2 linked regions of the Nothobranchius furzeri genome follow. Each later gene encodes a partner of the first gene's protein in a complex. Links are inferred from orthologs where the notes say so. Each region holds a gene or a part of one and is shown on either strand. Other genes may lie near its edges.

What was found.
Region 2: the proteins of GRIP and coiled-coil domain-containing protein 2 (region 1) and ras-related protein Rab-6A are in contact, whole or in part, in a crystal structure (PDB 3BBP), measured with the Homo sapiens proteins. The link is inferred for Nothobranchius furzeri from reciprocal best matches to the Homo sapiens genes GCC2 and RAB6A. Residues at the interface, in NP_852118.2 of Homo sapiens: Thr1585, Ile1588, Leu1589, Glu1591, Gln1592, Leu1595, Leu1596, Glu1599, Arg1602; in NP_942599.1 of Homo sapiens: Lys15, Ile46, Gly47, Ile48, Trp67, Arg74, Phe75, Ser77, Leu78, Ser81, Tyr82, Asp85.

What each region holds. Positions count from the first base shown.
Region 1 is NC_091747.1:23,130,696-23,140,357, forward strand, and holds part of GRIP and coiled-coil domain-containing protein 2, read left to right. Parts: coding exon 1-51; intron 52-154; coding exon 155-255; intron 256-451; coding exon 452-550; intron 551-3,856; coding exon 3,857-3,976; intron 3,977-4,744; coding exon 4,745-4,909; intron 4,910-5,090; coding exon 5,091-5,195; intron 5,196-6,493; coding exon 6,494-6,656; intron 6,657-6,997; coding exon 6,998-7,098; intron 7,099-7,237; coding exon 7,238-7,315; intron 7,316-7,395; coding exon 7,396-7,533; intron 7,534-8,138; coding exon 8,139-8,260; intron 8,261-9,662. UniProt on the Homo sapiens protein: Golgin which probably tethers transport vesicles to the trans-Golgi network (TGN) and regulates vesicular transport between the endosomes and the Golgi.
Region 2 is NC_091750.1:48,851,174-48,860,935, forward strand, and holds the start of ras-related protein Rab-6A, read left to right. Parts: upstream 1-4,559; 5' UTR 4,560-4,834; coding exon 4,835-4,904; intron 4,905-7,371; coding exon 7,372-7,430; intron 7,431-7,506; coding exon 7,507-7,560; intron 7,561-8,007; coding exon 8,008-8,113; intron 8,114-8,256; coding exon 8,257-8,368; intron 8,369-8,570; coding exon of another isoform or gene 8,571-8,664; intron 8,665-9,536; coding exon 9,537-9,630; intron 9,631-9,762. Other genes in the region: gap junction delta-2 protein-like, read right to left, coding at 439-509. UniProt on the Homo sapiens protein: The small GTPases Rab are key regulators of intracellular membrane trafficking, from the formation of transport vesicles to their fusion with membranes.

The sequences.
Region 1 (9,662 bases):
AGGTGGCATCCTCTGATCAACCCGAAGACGACGAGATGACAAAGAAATTAGGTGATGTCATGTTGCTTCGCCGTCCATAAGAAGCCATTTTATTGTTCTGTTAACGTGTTTAATAAAAAGTTTAAAATTTTCCCTTTTCTTTTTTTATTTTCAGCTCTTCTGGAAAACGAAATCAAAGGAAAAGATGAGAAGATCAACAAAATCAAGGCTGTTGCAGTCAAAGCCAAGAAGGAGCTGGACAGCAGTAAGAAGGAGGTAACGTAAGAATTATGTCACACTTAAATAGTAGATGTCATCTTGCTCAAAAACTTGTAATACATAATAAAAAAGCTCTGAAATGTAAACATTGCAGCAGAACTTAGTCATTTCAGGCCTGGTGAAAGTACATTATTTTGTTTAGTGATCAGTGGTGATTACACGTGGCTCTATTTATTATTTTCTGCATTTTCAGGTTCAGACTCTGAAAGAGGAAATAGAGTCACTGAAGGCAGAACGGGAGAAAGTAAACAGCTCTATGAAAGACATCATCCACGGTGCTGAAGGCTACAAGGTATCACACGCCGAGTTCACCTGAATTTGTGCACAAAGCAGTAGCTCAACAGGTTGAGTGGGTTGTCCAGTAATCGGAAGGTTGCAGGTTTGATCCCGGCTCCGGACAGAGAATTCTGCTGTTGTGTCCTTGTGTCCTTGAGCAAGACACTTAGTCCACCTCTTGCCTGCTGGTGGTGGTCGGAGGGACCGGTGGCGCCTGTGCTCGGCAGCCTCGCCTCTGTCAGTGCGCCCCAGGGCAGCTGTGGCTACATGGTAGCTCATCATCATCAGTGTGTGAATGTGTGTGTGAATGGATGAATGATACACTGTAGTGTAAAGCACTTTGGAATCCTTACTCTGAGAGGCGCTATACAAGTGCGGCTCATTTATCATTTATGTTTGTTTATTCAAGCGACTTACAATTTATAACTATAGGGCATGTTGTAATATTAATATATATTAATTTGCTTAGTAACTTAAATTATAACATCGACTGCATGTGAAAATAAAAAGTAACGTGAAGGGTTTACAGGTGACATTTTAGACTTGGGACTAATTTATGGGAAAGCACAGCTGTGAGCTTCCGCCGAAAGGCACAAGGACATGACGCAGCGGCAAAGACAGCTCCTATTGTAAATGAACGATAAACAACTCGCACTTGTATAGTACCTTTCAGAGTCGGAGGACTCCAAAGCGCTTTACACTACAGTGTATCATTCATCCGTTCACACGCCGATGGTGATGAGCTACTGTAGGGGAATATTGTTTTATATTCTTACACTTTTTATTAGGTCCAGATATTTTAATCAGAAGAGGTTGTTTTTACTTCAGGGAGTTTTATTTAAACACTTTGTATTGACTTAGAGACAAGAAAAGAGAGAGTTGGGATCGTAACGCTACACTACCATGTAGCTACAGCTGCCCTGGGGCTCACTGACAGAGGCAAGGCTGCCGAGCACAGGCGCCACCGGTCCCAGAATCTTCTGTCTGGAGCCAGGATCGAACGATTACTAGACAACCCACACAACCTCTGAGCTGCAAAGAAAGGTAGAGAAGTGTGTGCTGCACAGAGATTATCAACAGTAGTTTCAGTTAAAGACGTTTTTAATTTGAGAGAATGTACCAGTGTCTAGGGTTGTCATGTCCTTCGCCTTTCGGCTAAAGCTCACAGCTGCACATTGTCCTAAAGTGTAAAATAATGCCTGTAAAGCCTGTGTGTTACTTTTTATTTTAACATGCAGTCAAAATGGTTAGGTCACTAAGCAGTTGTATCACTGCCAAGGACTTTTTCTCACAATGATAGTTGGTACCATTCACTTACTGTGTTTTGTGCTAAGCTAAAGCTAAAGAAGTACCGCCGGGTCAGCAGAATGACTGGGCTGATTACAAATGGCTTTTTCCCACTTTTGTGATGCTGAGAAATATGTCAACAGACACAAATATCCCTTTAAGTAATAAAACTAAGAATATTATGTGGATTTTACAAAGATGGCAGATTATTTGTAGCTAGATTGACAACAGAAAGTGTGCAATTCAAAAAAAGCAGCAGGGGTGAAGGGACTCAAAAGAGATTATTTACTGGGTTTGTTGGAAGCAGTGGTGGTTGTAAATAAAAAAAGAACATTATATTTTCTAATATTTGTCTCCTGTTTTTCAGTTTCACTACTTTGTGGTGGTGTATTTTAGAAATGAGACAGTTTTAACCATTAGTAGGCAAGGCAGCTTCATTTATGGAGCACATTTCAGACACAGAGGTAATTCAATGTGCTTTACAATTAGCAGGAAATGACATGAAAACATGTAAAAACACAAATTAAAATACACACAGATAGAATTACAGTTTAGAGCTAAAGGAGAAGACAAAGTTACAGCGCAGATTACAGTGGAGACGACGCAGCATGAGAAACCATTCATGTAAAGGCTGATGAGTACATGAGGGTTTTAGTTGTGTTTTAAACAGCACTAGGGTTGGGGCACATCTGAGGTCATGGGGAAGCTGATTCCATATGTGAGCAGCATAGTAACTAAATGCATCTCCACCATGTTTGGTTCTGACCCGCGGTTCTACCAGCTGACATGGTTCTGACCCGCGGTTCTACCAGCTGACATGGTTCTGACCCGAGGTTCTACCAGCTGACATGGTTCTGACCCGCGGTTCTACCAGCTGACATGGTTCTGACCCGCGGTTCTACCAGCTGACATGGTTCTGACCCGAGGTTCTACCAGCTGACATGGTTCTGACCCGCGGTTCTACCAGCTGACATGGTTCTGACCCGAGGTTCTACCAGCTGGCATGGTTCTGACCCGAGGTTCTACCAGCTGATTCTGACAAGGGATCTCAGAGCCCTATTGGGTGTGTATACAGGAATGAGATTGGACATGTATTCTGGCCCCATGTCACTGAGTGATTTATAAACTAGTAGAAGCACTTTGAAGTCTATTCTGCAGTTTACTGGTAACCAGTGTAGGGATGTAAGAACAGGAGTGATGTGCCCGTTCCCTCAGTTCTTGTTAAGACTCTAGCGGCAGCATTCTGAACAAGCTGCAGTTGCTTCACAGCTTTTTTGGAAAGACCAGTTAGGGGACCACTGCAGTAGTCCAGCCGACCAGAAATAAAAGCATGAATGAGTTTCTCTAAGTCTGGTCTGGGTATGAGACCTCTGACTCTTGATGATTGATGAAGGTGATAAAAGGCTGATTTAGTTATAGCCTTCATATGTCCTGAGAAGCTCAGGTCTGAGTCACTGATGACACCAAGAAGTAGTAGTAGTTTAAAAACTAGAACTGTTATCAACAGATTTACAACATGATGAATCAAATATAAAGTTTTAAGGTGGTATTTAGAGTAAGGCGTTGTTGGTTGAAAGGGGCGAAGCTATTATTTATCTGTATTTTACCCAAATAAAAAGAACAGTGTAGATAAACCTAAAGTGAAACCAACATTCTCCAATTAACATTTAAATCTGTCTCATTCTTTCTTATGGTTTGGTGCTAAGTGGCGAGTGGAAGTGTGCGCTCTTTAAAGCATAACACAGCTCCCAGTGGTGTCTATAAACGGCACCCAGACTCTTACGCCTAAGAGGAAACTGCTCTGTTGAGTCTAATGAGAGTTTTGTCCCAAACGTCAGTGCAGATAGTTAGCCTTCACTGAGCTGTTAAGCCATCTCCATTAAGGAGTATTGAAGGTGTGTGTGTGTGTGTGTGTGTGTGTGTGTGTGTGTGTGTGTGTGTGTGTGTGTGTGTGTGTGTGTGTGTGTGTGTGTGTGTGTGTGTGTGTGTGTGTGTGTGTGTGTGTGTGTGTGTGTGTGTGTGTGTGTGTTTGCAGAACCTGCAGATAGATTACGACAAGCAGACCGAGCAGCTGGACAAAGAGCGAGAGAATCTGGAGGCAGCGGAGAGACAGATTGCTGATCTGACCAAACGACTCAGCAGTGCTGTCACACAGGTAACTGGAAAACACACTCCATCATACACACACACACACACACACACACACACACACACACACACACACACACACACACACACACATTACAGTGAGTCGAGAGACAAAGTGCCCTTCGGGTCCAGTAAATCTTGGCTTTGGGACTCTATCCAGCAATACTTTAAGCATAACTCTGTTTCCATATGATTTAAAGAGTCATTTTAGCCAGCAACACTTCTCCCAGATAAATCTGACAGGCGGGCTCCCACAAACAGCCCATCAGACGTGACTGGGTGAGCAAGGGAGAAATTGTTTTTATATACACTCGTTTCATCGAAGCTGTCTTTTTGCAACCAGAGAACCGCCAAGTAAATGGAGCGGGGTGTAGCCTCCATCTGTGCTTTTTCTGAGACACCGCTTCATTCTCATATTTACTCATGGGTCCCTGGGGAAGCACACAGACTGATGCTGGTTCGGGATCTCAGGGTACGTCCCGACGTCTCAGTTTACCCATCACACTTCCAGTGTTTGGCTGACAGCTGACCGGAGAAGGCTGGAGCTGGCGCTGGTTGAGTATTCTGTTTAGAGAACGCCCTCAGAGCCTGCTGCTGTCAGATTCACGTGGATGATTTTCAGAGTTTGGTGCATTTGCCTCCAAGCATGTGTTCTACAGAAAGTCTCCACTAAGGAAAACTAGAACAAGCCCTCCACCTTTCATCCCCTTAGAATATTTGACTGGATTCCTCCTGACACCGTAGTTAGAGAATATTGTTTTGTTTTGTTTTGCAGACGGAAACACTGAGCAGTGAGAAGGAGGATCTGTTGGCTGGTTTGGAGACCATGAGGAGCACAGTGAAGCAGTTGGAGGTCAAGAACCAGGAGCTGCAGAAACAATTAGCAAATCAAGACAATGACCTCCTGGCTGAGAGAACAATGAAGGAGCAAAAGCTTAAGGTAGAAAACGGAGAGAAACAGAAGCATGAGCAGATTTAGATTTTGCACAGTTTCACCAGAAAAATGTGTTGCCCTTTTATTATATAATATACGTTTAAGCCCCTGATATGTGTTGTAATAGATCAGTTTCACATGATTGAAGCTAAAAGAGCTGACAGTTTGTTTGCGTTTCCCTCACCAGGATTTGTCATCTGCCACGAAGGAGGTGGAGGAGCTGACAGCTCAGCTCCGCAAGCAGCAGCAGCAATCTCAGCAGGCCGCTCAGGAACTGGAGCAGCTACGCAAGGTACGCCAGCACCGAAGTGGTCTCTCAGAGCAAAATCCGGTCAAGGCACTGAACTGCTTATGACTGCCCTGAAGCTACAGCTGCACCTCAGAGAGAGAGAGAGAGGGAGCAGCTTTAGCCCACAGCCCAAAGAGCTGCTGTTAGTTTCCATTAGTGGAGACCTGAATGTTCCAGCAGGGTGCATGACAGCTGCCTGCAGGTCTGGCTTTGTCTGGGGTCCACTTTACTGGTTTCATCTAGAGAAACGGACTTTCTCAGGCTGGTGTTTGTGCCGAGTCTAGGGAGAATTTTATATTTAAACATTTTAAAATAGGTTTTATTTTACTTTTTACAATAAGATATAGTAATTATATTTGATTACATTCATACAGAAAATACAACGTATTGCTTGGACTTTAGAGTGAATTCAATTCAGTTTATTTTTATAGCGCCAAATCACAGCAAGAGTCATCTCAAGACACTTCTAATTAAACCCACTTATTATTCAAATTAGTTAAAAGTTTCCTTTATAAGGACAGTGGAGAGGAAAACTCCCTTTTACTAGGAAGAAACCTCCAACAGCCATCTGAGCAGCCATCTGTCACGACCATCGACATAAATATACTGGACATCTCCTTTCCATAGGCTCCAATATCACATTTTTGAGGCCAAATGGGAGGTGGCCACCGCCGCCATTTTGACCGTGTATTCCCCTCATCCGCTGGGTGGAACTGCAGTTTATTTCATTTCCGGGTTTGACTCAATTTTAGAGATGCATTGTGGGGGCTTGGTCACGCCTCACTGGGATTTAGGACAGAGCACACACACACACACACACACACACACGCACACACACACACACACACGCACACATGAACTAGTAGCACATTTTATGATAAAGAAAGTAAAAAGTTCATATCAGGAGTTGCTAAATCAAACATTGTATTGTGTTTGTCACGTATACTTAAATTTTTGCAAAGATCTGTAAAGGTCATGTCCTTAAATAGGGTTTTAGCCAAAAGCATGTGATTATTTTTCTGTTCAACATGTGGAACAGACCACAGATGCATCCAGGTGCTTTTTACAAATGCATCTGATGTAACAGGAAAGTTTTCAGAAGAGAGCTAATGCTACTCTTGGACCAGCAGGACAGTATCTCCAGAACAAGATACAGTCTTAAACTGGACATTGTACTAAATCGGGTTAATCGCCCGATAATGGGCTAACTAGTTTTATCACTAAACACATTTTTCTTTGTCTGACTGAGAAGCTTCAGCTCTCTTCACATTAATGATGTAGTACTTTGACTCTGCCACTAGGAGGCGCAGCAGAATTCCCTGCTGGACATGGAGATGGCCGACTATGAACGTCTGGTGAAAGAACTCAATGGCAAGCTGAGGGAGAAAGAGGCGCAGCAGGAGGAGTTAAAAGCCCAGATTAGCAGCTTCACTCAGAAGCAGGAGACGCTCAAGCAGGAAATCGGTACCAATGCAATGTTTCTGTACTTAATAAAGTTTCATTCAAATAACAGTTTGTTGTTGGTTAGTTTTACCCCATAGATTCCAAAATCCTTAAATTCAGATTTATTTTATTAGAAAATACAAAAGTAGCATCAGTAATTCCTGCATATTCCTAACGATTGACCTCGTTGTGCAGCTGTAGCATCGTTGATGTGTTTATCTGTAACGTCCACCGTGTTTTCTGGTGCTCCATGCAGTCAGTTAGCAGCAAGGTGACAGACTAGACCATAAATATCACTGAATATTTTTTTTATTTCATTTTTTGTCATGCTCGTGTGCACACATCTCACATCACGTCTCCAGAGGCTTTGAAGTCTCATTTGGACCAGGAAGAGGAGAAGACCATGAAGATGAAACAGCTGCTGGTGAAGACAAAGAAAGACTTGGCAGATGCCAAGAAACAGGTGTGTGTGTGTGTGTGTGCGTGCGTGCGTGTGTGTGTGTGTGTGTGCGTGTGTGTTATCCAGCCTTGTGTAGGCATGGCTGTGACTACATGTCTCTGTGCTGATGGTGGTTTTTATCTGTGTGTGTTCAAACATGCAGGAAAGCTCGCTGATGATGGTTCAGGCTTCTCTGAAAGGAGAGCTGGAGGCTAACCAGCAGCAGCTCGAAAGCTCTAAGGTAACAATTGGAGAACTTCCCAGAACCCAGCAGCTGATCCTTACGCAGCTGCATCCTAAACTGTGTGCTTGTGCTTTTAGATTGAGGTGTGTGAGCTGACAGCCGAGCGCCATCGTCTGCAGGAGCAGCTCAGGTCTGCGCTGGAGCAGCAACACCGAACCAGCAGCTCCCTGCAGCAACGCATCCACGGTCTGCAGCAGGACAGAGACACCGCTAAGGTAACATTCCTTTCTAGGCCTCGTTCTGAAGTTTTATTCGACATTCACTCAGGAAGCTCAATGGGATAGGAACAAAGGTGAAGGGCACTGTTCAAGTAAACATGATCACTACTGAGATAAATGCTCACATAAAGGTTAAGACACCAATAATTGGTGCATGGTGGCGCAGTGGTTAGCACTGTTGCCTCGCAGCATGAAGGTTGCAGGTTCGAAACTCGGCTGCGGCCTTTCTGCGTGGAGTTGCGTGTTCTCCCCATGCATGCGTGGGTTTCCTCCGGGTACTCCGGTTTCCCCAACAGATCACAACATGCCCTATAGGTTATAAACTGTAAGTCGCTTTGGATAAAAGCGTCTGCCAAATAAATAAACAAATAATTCCACATATTGGAATAAAACATAACAGAACTCTGTGTGAGGTTTGTTCCAGGTATTAAAAACCTAATTTTAAAGCATTTCAAGCCGGTTAGGGTAATTCATGAAATGTTTCTGGGCATATTTAGATGAGCTGCGGTTTCTCTTATTAGAGGTAGATTGTGTGATTTAAAGAACAAAAGTGTCTCTGTAGAGAAACGTGTTACCTTTTCATCATCCGTTTGTTTTTCCAGGCTGAGCTTGTAACAACAACCAGTGAGTTTGAGAGTTACAAGGTACGAGTCCACAATGTGCTGAAGCAGCAGAAGAGCAAAACCAGTGCCCAAAGCGAAGGAGACTCTGGCAAAAGAGAAAGGTGAGATCAATGTGACGGTGCAGTAAAGCAATCAGGTGACGTCCACCTTAATAAAGACTCAATCAGCAGGTTACTTTATTTTATTTACTTTATTTAAAGAGAGGACATTGCATATTTATGAACAGCAATACAACTAAATATGCCAGATTGTAGCCTTAGGCTAATCTCCATCTGCAGTCCTCTGGCAGGTTCATGTAAAGAGGTAAGACAGACAACAATATACATTTAAAAAAAAAAAAAAAAAACAGTTAGGAACTTATTTTACAAAAAAGACAAGAGTAAAAACAAAAGTCTCATCTATGATTGCATCTTTGAGTTTCCTGTAGCCACAGTTTGAATTGTCTTTTGAAAATAATAAAACTTGAGCTTTCTCTCACTTGAGTAGGAATGCTGTTCCAAAAAGTCGAGCCCTGGAATGACAGAACATTTTGAGAAAATGTCGTTCGCCTAAGCGTGCGCTCACAGTCACCTCCAACTGTAGCTCGAGTTAATCGGGAAGAGTCCCTATGTGACTTTTGAATAATAAAATCATTCAGTGGTGGAGGGGCTAGACCATGAATAACTTGGCCAGGCAAGCAGATTTAAAATGTTTAAAATTTTGGAAACTCTGTATAGAATATTTATCCAGAATCGGACAGTGATGATACATTGGCTTTTTGTCCAGGAATTTCCTTGCCCTTTTATAGCAGGACTCAACAGGTCTGATAACAGAAGAGGCTGTAAATGACCAGCTGGTGATGTTACAGCGATGTTCCCTTCACTCTACCCTCCAGTGAAATGTGTTGGAAACAAAACCAGAATAAAAGGTTAAAACGCCACTTCTTAGCAACTATTTCAGCCAATTTTATATATATAGTATATTATCATTATCATCATCAAGGCTCCTGCGAAGGGTCGGGTGTCATCCCGCATCAGTGCGTTGAGCCTACCAGGTAAACTAGTTGTCTCCAGTGCTGGCGGTTTCGTGCCAGCTGCTCTGCATTTGCTACAGCAACTCCGAATAGTTGGGAGGTCGCCCGCAACAACAAAGAGCCATCGGGTCATCTCCAGCCTGCGGCCCACGGGTCAAACTGCAGAATGGCTCTGGTCGAGTGGTCAAAAGAAGGACGGAGGACATGGCCGAGCCAGTGGGTGTGGCGTTGCGCTGCCAGGCAAGATGCACTGGGCTGGCACGTGCGTTCTCTTCACACTTGGTTGGAGACCCGCTGGGGCCACCTGATGTTCTCAATGTTCTCAGAGCCCTGCTATCAAAGCTATCCATTCTTCTGGCCAGTGAATTCGTTTTGTCCTCACAAGCTCACATAGAAGGAAACATGGAGTTTAATATGGCATTGCCCAAAGACTTGGACCCACTGTCATGTATTTTAGATCTGATTTTTATGGTTATATGTTACAAAGCTGC
Region 2 (9,762 bases), on another chromosome or scaffold:
TTCCTAAAAATTCCCTTGGAGTAGAGAATTTTCTCCCTCCTTTGATTCTATCTTCGACACCTGCTCCCACACTTTCTTTCATCTTCCTCACTCCCTCTCTCCTCTCCTCCTTCTGCCCTGTTGGTCTGAGGCCAATCGTCTATCAATATCTGTGCTGATAGGTGGTAGCATCACAAGAACACCTCTGCTTTAACCACGATGCTTGGTAAAGCCTTGGTATTGATTATGTGTAATTAGTTTGTCCCTTAACTAGTGATTGGTGTGTAGGACAAGTGTGAGGGAGGTAGAAAGGAGGAAAGGACAAGGGGTCAAGGAGGACATGTGGAGGGGTTGGAGAAAAGAGGACAGAACTGGGACGGGCCTGGAACAGGCGAATGTCCAGAAATGGGACAGCAGCATAAACAAAACAAGAAAAGACACCTGGTTTGTGTTCCTTACCTTCCGATCATGGTGGAGTGCTGCTGGACAGCTGCCTCCAGCAGCCTCTCCAGAATGGTCCATTCTCCCATGGTGATGGAAACACGGCAGAGCGAGCTGAAGAAAGGGGACTCGGGGAGCTGATCTGTCTTCTGTCTTGCTCTTTACAGGACCAGCCTGTCTGCGGACCAGCGAGGGGGGTGCACCAAATCCCCCACACCAGCTCCCTCTTGACCTCTACGCACTGACCCGGCTCCTCGTCTCTGAGTGTCTTCTGCCGGGCCTGTCCCACCAAGCTGAAGGAGAGGTGCTGAACTCACTGCCTCCCCCCTTCTCTTTGCCTCAGTTTTCTCCCCCCGCCCCAGTGCAATGATGCTTGTCCTCCCCCTGCAGCACCACTCTGCTCTGCGCTACAGCATATGCTATAGCTCACAGTATGACAGCCATGATCACCCTCTCTCTTCCACTTTCCTCTCCCCGTCCTCTATCTGTTCTCTCCTTCTCCTCTTCCTCCCCTGTCTCCCTCCTCCTCCACCCCCCTCTACCCTTACTCCCAGTGCACTCTGTGTACTTCAGGTGCACTCTGTGCCATTGGTGCTGCTCTACACTCGTCCTTGCATTGTGGTTCTTTGCCTTTGCTGCACCCCTGCTGCTCTAACCTAAACACACACCACATACAGCTGATCTTCCTTGGCTCACCTTAGCCAACAGCACTGTAAACACACACACACACTTTCACACAGCGACAGCTCTGAATCCCTCTCTCCCACTTCCTACAGAGGACTGCAGATCCAGACCAGCACACAAAGCTCCTGCCTGCTAAATGTCACTTCATGACTGGAGGAATGGTTGCTCTCTCGGAGCTCCGAGCACTACACAGACCTGTAAAAACCTGCACACACATACATACGCTCAGAGCCGCGTGCACAAACATGCTGCCATCCAGGTCCTCAGTAATAAATCAGCTGCCTTGCTGCATCCAGCGAGAATTAACCAAAGCACTTTGCTGCAGACCTGCTGTCCTCTTTCGTCCTACTGGCAGATTTCAGCACACTCCGATGCCCAGAGTCATGTCTGCTGCAGGGAGCAGGGATGAAAAGCTGTCCTGTAAAACCTATTTCTGGGCTCCATCATCCAGCATCCCCCTTTCTGCCTCCCCCCTCTCTCTCTCTCGCTCCACCTCCGTTCTCTTCCTCCTTCCCCTCTCTCCCCCGTTCCGGTTTGTTTGGATCTCAGTCCTGCCAGCTACCTCTGTCTCAATGGTCGGTCCCCATCTCTGCTCTCAGAGCTCTGTGCTCTCCTCTCTGTCCCTGTGCCTCTTCCTCGCTCATCGCTCTATCTCTGTCACACTCTGTGAGCATGCAACACCCCCCTCCCTCCTCCCTCCCCATCATCTCAGAGATCTGCTCCCTCTCATCTCTCTCCCTCTTTCACTCCCTCCCTTTCGTCTTCTCGCCTCCTCTGGTAAATGTGCTTGGATTGCTACCCTGATCGCTGCTTCACTTATGCTTGCAAGACTCCCTCCTGCTGTACTGCTGCACCTGTCTCAGGCTGACGCTGAACAGGGCGAATCTGAGATCTAACCGCACCTCCTGGCGTGTCTCAGCAACCCTTTGTTCCGGGACCTCAGCCGTGTTTCATGTTCACTTCAAATGATCTCTTCCTCTTTTAACCTCCTGGAGGAGAATCAGAGGAACTCTTCCATCACATCCACTATTTATCTCCTCACCTTTGTCTATCTTACTGTACTGAGTACAAAAACACACCTATTTGATCCTCACCCAACCTTAATGCCCTTTCTGTATTTCCTCTCATCGTGTTTCTCAGTTCCCCCACCCACCCTACATGCAAGCCTCCATGCTCTCTCTCGCTCCCTCTCAGGAGAAATGAGCAATGTATTGTACTTTGCAGTGACATTGAAAGCTGCATTCATTGGATTTATGTTAAGGTTGAGAGGAAGTATGCTGGTCCTCCACCATTACGCCCACAGATGCAGGCAAACGTACGGTGTGCAGTCAACACACTCACAGCCGCAAGACAAATACATCTGCATTCCTTCCACTAAAGCCCAGGGGAGAGGGTGATTAAACTAAAGAAAGAATCACAAAGTTGCTTCCCGAGATGTGAGTCATAGTAATAAGGCTTTCCCTTTCAGGACGCTGAGCCAAGTTCTGCAGAAGTAAACGACGCAGGGTGCAGCACAGCAATGTGAAGTCCTGGCTACAGAGCATGTCCTTGAGCTTTTATGGAAAATTCAAAATTATATTAAAGTGGATTCTCAAAGAAAAATGATGAAGTGAAGCCATTTTCCATAACCTTCCCTCCAAATGTGAACGCGGTAAAGATGAAGAGAGACTGGGGGGGACATAGATCTACCGAGATTTTGCCAGATCAGCATCTTCAGCAGGGGGACTGTGGAAAGGAGGGGTGGGGGTATTTTCCTTACCAAGGACATAAGGCGTAGGAGTGCTAAAGCAAAGAGGGGGATCAGTGGAGTGTGATGGCTTTGGTTTGGCAGAAGCAGAGCAGCTGAAGCGCTGGCATCAGCCAAACGGCACTCCGGGAATGGGACATGAATGAGAAGGGGCGCAGGTGTGTGTCTTCTCTTCAGTGACCTAGAAGGGTTAGCTAAAGCAGGCACAAAAATACCGCAGACTTTAACTCCACTGTAGGGATCCAGAATTTGGATATTTTTACATTTTTTCAAGTCAAATGTTGATTTCCCTTTTAAGGTTGTGTAATCTCACTAAATTACAACATCTCCTACTCTGAAACATTACAAAGGCCATGAAGGGACTTTGATTAGTGTTCTGACCTCTAAAACGTTCATGACGTGTTGTAACAAGGGAGGAAATGAGGATATCAAAAATGATTGTTAATGAATGAGAGTTGTGTTGAGTTTCAGGAGAGCACAGGTGTGTTAACAAGGGCTGCATTCCATTTAGAAGTGCTGTGTGAACCAGCTGCAGGATGGGAATGCAGTTCTGCTTTTCTTGCGAGGCCAATTGCATGAATTAAACAAGAATCAGACCCATTTTTATGAACATTTGCAACAAAATGAAACTTGTACTTTCACTCTGACACCCATCTCTGCATAGGGAGCTAAAGAGAGTCACCTTGTAAATTGCCAGAGGGCTTCATAACAGCTGTCGTCCTACAAGCTGGAGGTCACCAGCTGTAAAGGCTCCTGTAAACAACAGAATCAGATGACAGTTTAAAAACGTGTCAGACAAAGCCGGCTCCACAAAGTTCTACTATCACACCTACATCCTGTTAAACGTGATCTAATTTTTGTTAATGCCAAATAATTAATGCCAGTTGATTTTATGTTGAAAGGCTGCCAGCAAGTGCTGCCATCACTATAGTGACTATAAAACCACACATGTTAATCCTGCAGTGATGTCTCAAAATAGTCCACCCTGAGCAAAGACAAGTGACATTATTCAAGCATCAACAAGGCTGATGATCAGAAAAGTGCACACCAAAATAATGCACTCTCTTCCAAAATATATTGTAATTTAAATTTTTGATCTAACCTTTAGGTCTCCTTTGACCCCAATTAGTGACCCAAGTGTTGCTAATTAGCATTTTTGTTAAAAGCACTATTTGCAGCACAGATCTTGCTCGTTTTCCTAGTCTTTGTATTTACCTCATCAAATTAACTTGAGCAAATTAAACTGAAAACATTAGGTGTAACTAGGATGAAATAGCAAAATTTGCAAGAAAATAGTTGAGACAGATTTGTTGACTAAAATTTATTAAAGAATAAACTTATGGAGACTGTATCATACCGTGGTGATAAACACAACCACAGGACAGACCAGGTTCTTCAGAACAGCTCATAATAATTAGATTAAAATCTAAATTGCTTAGTGTGTGAAATGTCTGCAGTGGTGTGAGCCCGCCCTCTTGTGGACATATGAACATAAAACATGTGTCCAACACGAAACCCATGTTTTACGTTTCCAGATTTGTTTAAATTCTACAGTTAATCTAGAAATTATATATGAATGTAATCATAATAAATCCGTATTCTGCATGGTATAATCCAGCTATCATCTTCTTGCTGTTGAATTGTTTTCAGTTGTCATTGTTGTTTGTTTTTGTTTCACCGCTAGATGGCAGCATAACGGTTCGGCTGTAACAGCAAATACGGCGCGAAGAAGAAGTGGCCCGGTGTAGTTCGCTGATCTGCTGGACTGAGGCTAACTTGGTAGTAGTAGTCACAGAGTTGTAAAATAGTATATTAACGCTAAGAGGGGTGGTTACAGAACAGCACACATCAACAAGTGGACAGGTTTAAAGGCTGGCACACGAATTCCGGACCTTTAAATAGTGAGAACAGCTGCTTAGCTATCATTTAGCAGGCTAGCTGGAGAGTTTCTGAAGAGGATTGTCGGGTTCGTTTGATCCAGTCATGTCTACGGCCGGAGACTTCGGAAACCCTTTAAGAAAATTTAAACTGGTCTTTCTTGGGGAACAGAGTGGTAAGTTTCTCACTGGCTGGGAGAAATAAAAACTTAACTATATTTAAACTTGGTTTCCTTAGGATGTATAGTTGAGTTACTCCGGTGTTTAACGCCAGTCAGTTAGCCTGCTAACATTAGCTGCAAATCGTAATACTTGTTAAATTGCGACACAGTTGATGTCGTCTTGTCCACGCTGGCTCCGGCGTTCACTCTCACCTAGATGACTCATGATCGTGGAAATGGACTTGTTCACCAGGTCACTAACCGCAGTGGGCTCGAATACCAGCGTCAGTGACGTATGAAGTTTCATTTAGAAGAACACGGGTCAGTTTTAAGTGGCAAAAGTAGTAAAACGTTCGGTTTGATTATAAATACTTTCCTTTATGACGCTGCTACAGTGTTTTATCATTGTTTATTAACTAGCATTCCCAGCTTTAGTGTGTAAACGTAACAATGATTACATTCATCATCTTTTTTCCTACCCTTGGGGCACTTACCATAATCCAAACCTGCCTGGTCACATTCCTACACTCCCCCATTGACCTTTGTTCCAGTCAGGGTTCACAAACAATCTGCCCCAAAACTGAAAGATGTTTGCGGTACTCTGAACAGTGTAGTGCTGTTATTAGGTTAAGTACATGTATTTCCCTCAAGCTTTAGCTAAAACACCACTGTGTGAGCTTAATTTGGGGTTTCAGGTTGGTTTGGTTTAGCTGAACCAAGTCTTTTCTGTTCTTATGCAAGCTGTTGGTGACCCATTATAACAGAACTTCATGTAAAAGCTTTCTTTTTTTTATAATCATGAATATGTTTCTGATATAAAACCTTTCTGGAGATGAATTTATGCAGGAAAAAGACGATGTCAAACAAATGATGGCTTCTTATGTTTCTTGTTAACCTCTATGAAAATTTAGGTCCTTTTATTATCAAAAATGTTCTTATTTTTAAGTTTTTAACACATTTAAATGCTTCATCCCATGTTCACGGTCCAGTCTGCTTTGCATTACTTTCTGGGAATGAATAATATAGCCATATATTAGGGCTGCACAATATATCGTAAATATATCGTTATCGCGATATCAGCATGAGCAATATGCATATCGCAAAGAACATAAAAATATCGCATTGAATGGTCAGCTCAAATGTTTGCTTCACATAATGTGTTCTGTCAATCAGAAACATGATGTTTTTTTAAACAAATCAAAAAGAGCTCTTCACCCATTTGGCCAATCAGGTGGGATCTCATAGTTTAGGTGCCCGCCCCCGAGGCAAACGGCACATAATTTTAATGGTTAGCAAACACAGTTAGCTTTTTTCTGCTCTTTCTGCTGATTCTGCCTTTCCCGGGATCCACTGATCGCCTTTTCTTGATCGTTTTCTTTTTCCTTTTCCTCACATCTTTTGCGTTTCTCATTTTTATGATTTTTTTATTTCTTTGTTTTTGATTATTTTTGTTCCTGAATTAAGTTTTTATTTATCGAAAGTAATATCGTCATCGCAATATTAATCACTGATATCGAATATTGCAGGTTTCCCTAATATCGTGCAGCCCTACCATGTAGATTTTCCGAATAAACTCAAATCATCAAAGGAATGAGCTGCAAACAAATTTCCCTCTAATCTCTAATTTCCCTTTGGGATTCATAAAGCATTTTTGAATTTGAATGTACACACAAGCCCTTAGAGAGCCTTTTTCTTTGGTATGTCTGATGGTCTTCACTGCAACACTCACTTTCCTTTAGGGTGAGAACAAGACATTCTACAAAATCTGACCTTTCCTTATCATTCGGTACATTTATTTCCACGTGGCACAGCCTTTAATGGGACTCATCCAGATAAGGCAGACAGATATTGTGTTTGCTCATCTGTAATCAGCGGTTGGTCCTTGCTGCTGTGTTGGCTTCAGCTGTGTCACCGTCACTTGATGCACGCTGTAACCGATATTGTAACTCGAGCTCGACACAGAAACGGTCTGAGGCCGAGGAGCTCAGCCCCAGATCTCAAACCAACATGAATCCACTCAGCAGCAAATGTTCTCCACAAAAATACCCCAGATATACAGTATACTCCACTCAACCTTTACTTATACAGCGCCGTTCACAGAAATAAAATTCACAAAGTGCTTCACTGTAGATCTAACAATAAAAAGTAACATCAAGATATTAACAATAAAATTTTATTTATAGTATATAAAGTACTTTATGAATTGTTTACATATGCCAGATGTTACTTTAATAACTTTTAATTTATGAAATGTGAACAAAAACTTGAAGCTGTAATTTTATTACATTTGTGACAACGTGTCATTTTCTTTTGGGCTTTAGGTCATCATTGTGTTTTCTTGTGGAAGAAAACTCGATTCATTTATTTTAATTTGGTTTCATAAATATTCTGATGTTTTTAATCAATGAACTTATGTTCAATATTTGTCAAAAACTTTTATTTTGGTCATTTTGAAATATTTAGTCCTTTGTTTGTGTTTCAGTGGGAAAGACTTCATTGATCACCCGGTTTATGTATGACAGCTTTGATAACACATATCAGGTGAGTTCACCTATTCTTTGATTATAATTATGCTGATTGATGCTGACTAAAGGTAATTTTCCCCATTTGTTGTCAGGCAACAATAGGAATAGATTTCCTTTCAAAGACCATGTACCTCGAAGACAGAACAGTAAGTTTATTTTCATCTCCTGTAGGGTTTGGGTTGGTAAAGAATCTGTGTGTTTTCTCCACCAAACACACACACACACTCAGGGCTGGTTTTTCTCTCTAATGTGATTATGGTGCCATTTAGCTTCACTGTTTGTACCAAGTTTTCTCCCTCTTCTTCCCACCTCTGCATTAATCCATCATCACATTTTAAAACAGAAAACTTTACCCTGACGAGTGAAGGGTGACTTTTTCTTTCCCCTCCAGGCCCAGACAGCTTTTCTACCTGCATGCACTACTCCCTCTGTCTCTGTTTTCCCTTCAGCCATACTTTATTTGTTCTTCTTTCAGTTTGCTTGTCATCACATAAACTTAGCTTGTTTGTCTTTTTTTTTTATTTATTCCATTGTCTCTGTTTTATTAGATTTTATTTCTTTATTCTTTGTTCCATCCTCTTCCTGCCCTACAGATTCGGTTGCAGCTGTGGGACACGGCGGGGCAGGAGCGATTTCGCAGCCTGATCCCAAGTTACATCAGAGACTCGGCTGCTGCTGTCGTAGTTTACGACATCACAAGTAGGTGATGCCACATCTGGAAATAAAACACATCCTCATACATCCGCTGTTATTGTAATGTCTTCTTGTCGCTCATTCCTTTGATTTTTAGGCTTTCTCTTCCTGAGTAGTGATGCTCTGCTTCCTGTTTGGTTTCCTTTTAGATGTCAACTCTTTCCAGCAAACTACAAAGTGGATCGATGATGTGAGAACGGAGAGAGGAAGTGATGTCATTATTATGTTGGTGGGAAACAAGACAGATCTTGCAGACAAAAGGTAAGTTTTAAACCAGCTCAAATCACTGCTTCCATTTAAACACCAGCCTACCACCAGCCGATCTGCAGCGGAACAAGTTCTCTCTTCTCTTCGTTGATGTCATTTGTGATGATTGTTTTCTGATTTACGTCTGTCTAGTTGATGCTTTCGGTCTTCCTGTTTCTTTTTTTGTTGCATCTTTTAACTTCCTTATCTACCACAGGCAAGTATCTATTGAAGAGGGTGAGCGGAAAGCCAAAGAACTAAATGTAATGTTTATTGAGACTAGTGCGAAAGCAGGCTACAATGTCAAGCAGGTAAGGATGTGTGTGAGCCGTGCTCTGTAGTCCTGCTGCAGACGCTGCACACCGAGCTTCAGGACCAAAAGTCTCCCGCTCCGATCAGACCAGATGAAGAAGTCAACTTAAATAACAAAGGAGTTTTAATCAAAGTTGTGCAAATAGCTGTGAGATTGTTTTTCATTTCCTGTCTTGGTTTTCAGGGAATTTTGATACCTTTTAGAATTGTTGATTTAGGGTTAGAAATGAACATTTGTACCAAGCTCTCCTTTATTAACCTAAACAGCAAAAACCTGATCATGACCAGAAAATAGTGAAGGAATTTTATTTAAATAACAAGTTCAATTAAACTTTTATCCACTCAAATAATGTTTTATTTCCCACAGATGTTGTTGCGTTGTTTTAATTTGACTAGCATGTAAATTATTCTCTGACTCCATTGGCGTGCACATTCATATTCATAGTTTTCTTTAGACTTTTTTTTTTATTAACAAGCTTTACAGTCAGTTGGTTTATAATCTTTTTTTTTTTAATAAATGTAGGTGACTTTAGAGCAGAAGTCTGATGTAGTTTTGAGCATTTTTGGCACAGTGTGATCAACTTTATCTCCTTAAAGGAGAATCCTCCTTTTGCTCAGGGGTTTTCTGGGGGTGCGTTCACAAGCATTAGAGCTGCATGTAGAAGCCACAAATATTAAAGATGGCTGGGAGGCTTTTGGTCTGAGGTAAGGTGGCAGTAGCAGCAGGGAGGAGCACGGCTTGTTGATGTGCTTCAGTTTAATCACAGTGTGTTTTTGTGTTTTTCTCCTTTTGTTTGTTTTAATGTCTGGTGGATTGTGCGTGTCCCGGGGTGTTTGTGTGCTGTTCGTGGTGACTCCTGGCTCGTCACAGACAGATAACCACAGAGGAAGGAGAACAGAGAGCAAAAGAGATGAATGTTCTGTTTGTTGAGACCAGTGCAAAGACAGGCTACAATGTCAAACAGGTAGAGCGTGTGCAAATTTGTGAGTGTGTTCGTAGAATTCCTGCCTTGATTTGATTGGCCTCTCCTGCACACTCCCACGCGTGCACAAAGATGTGCTTTAAACCTCTGCTTCTGTGAGATGCATGAGATTAG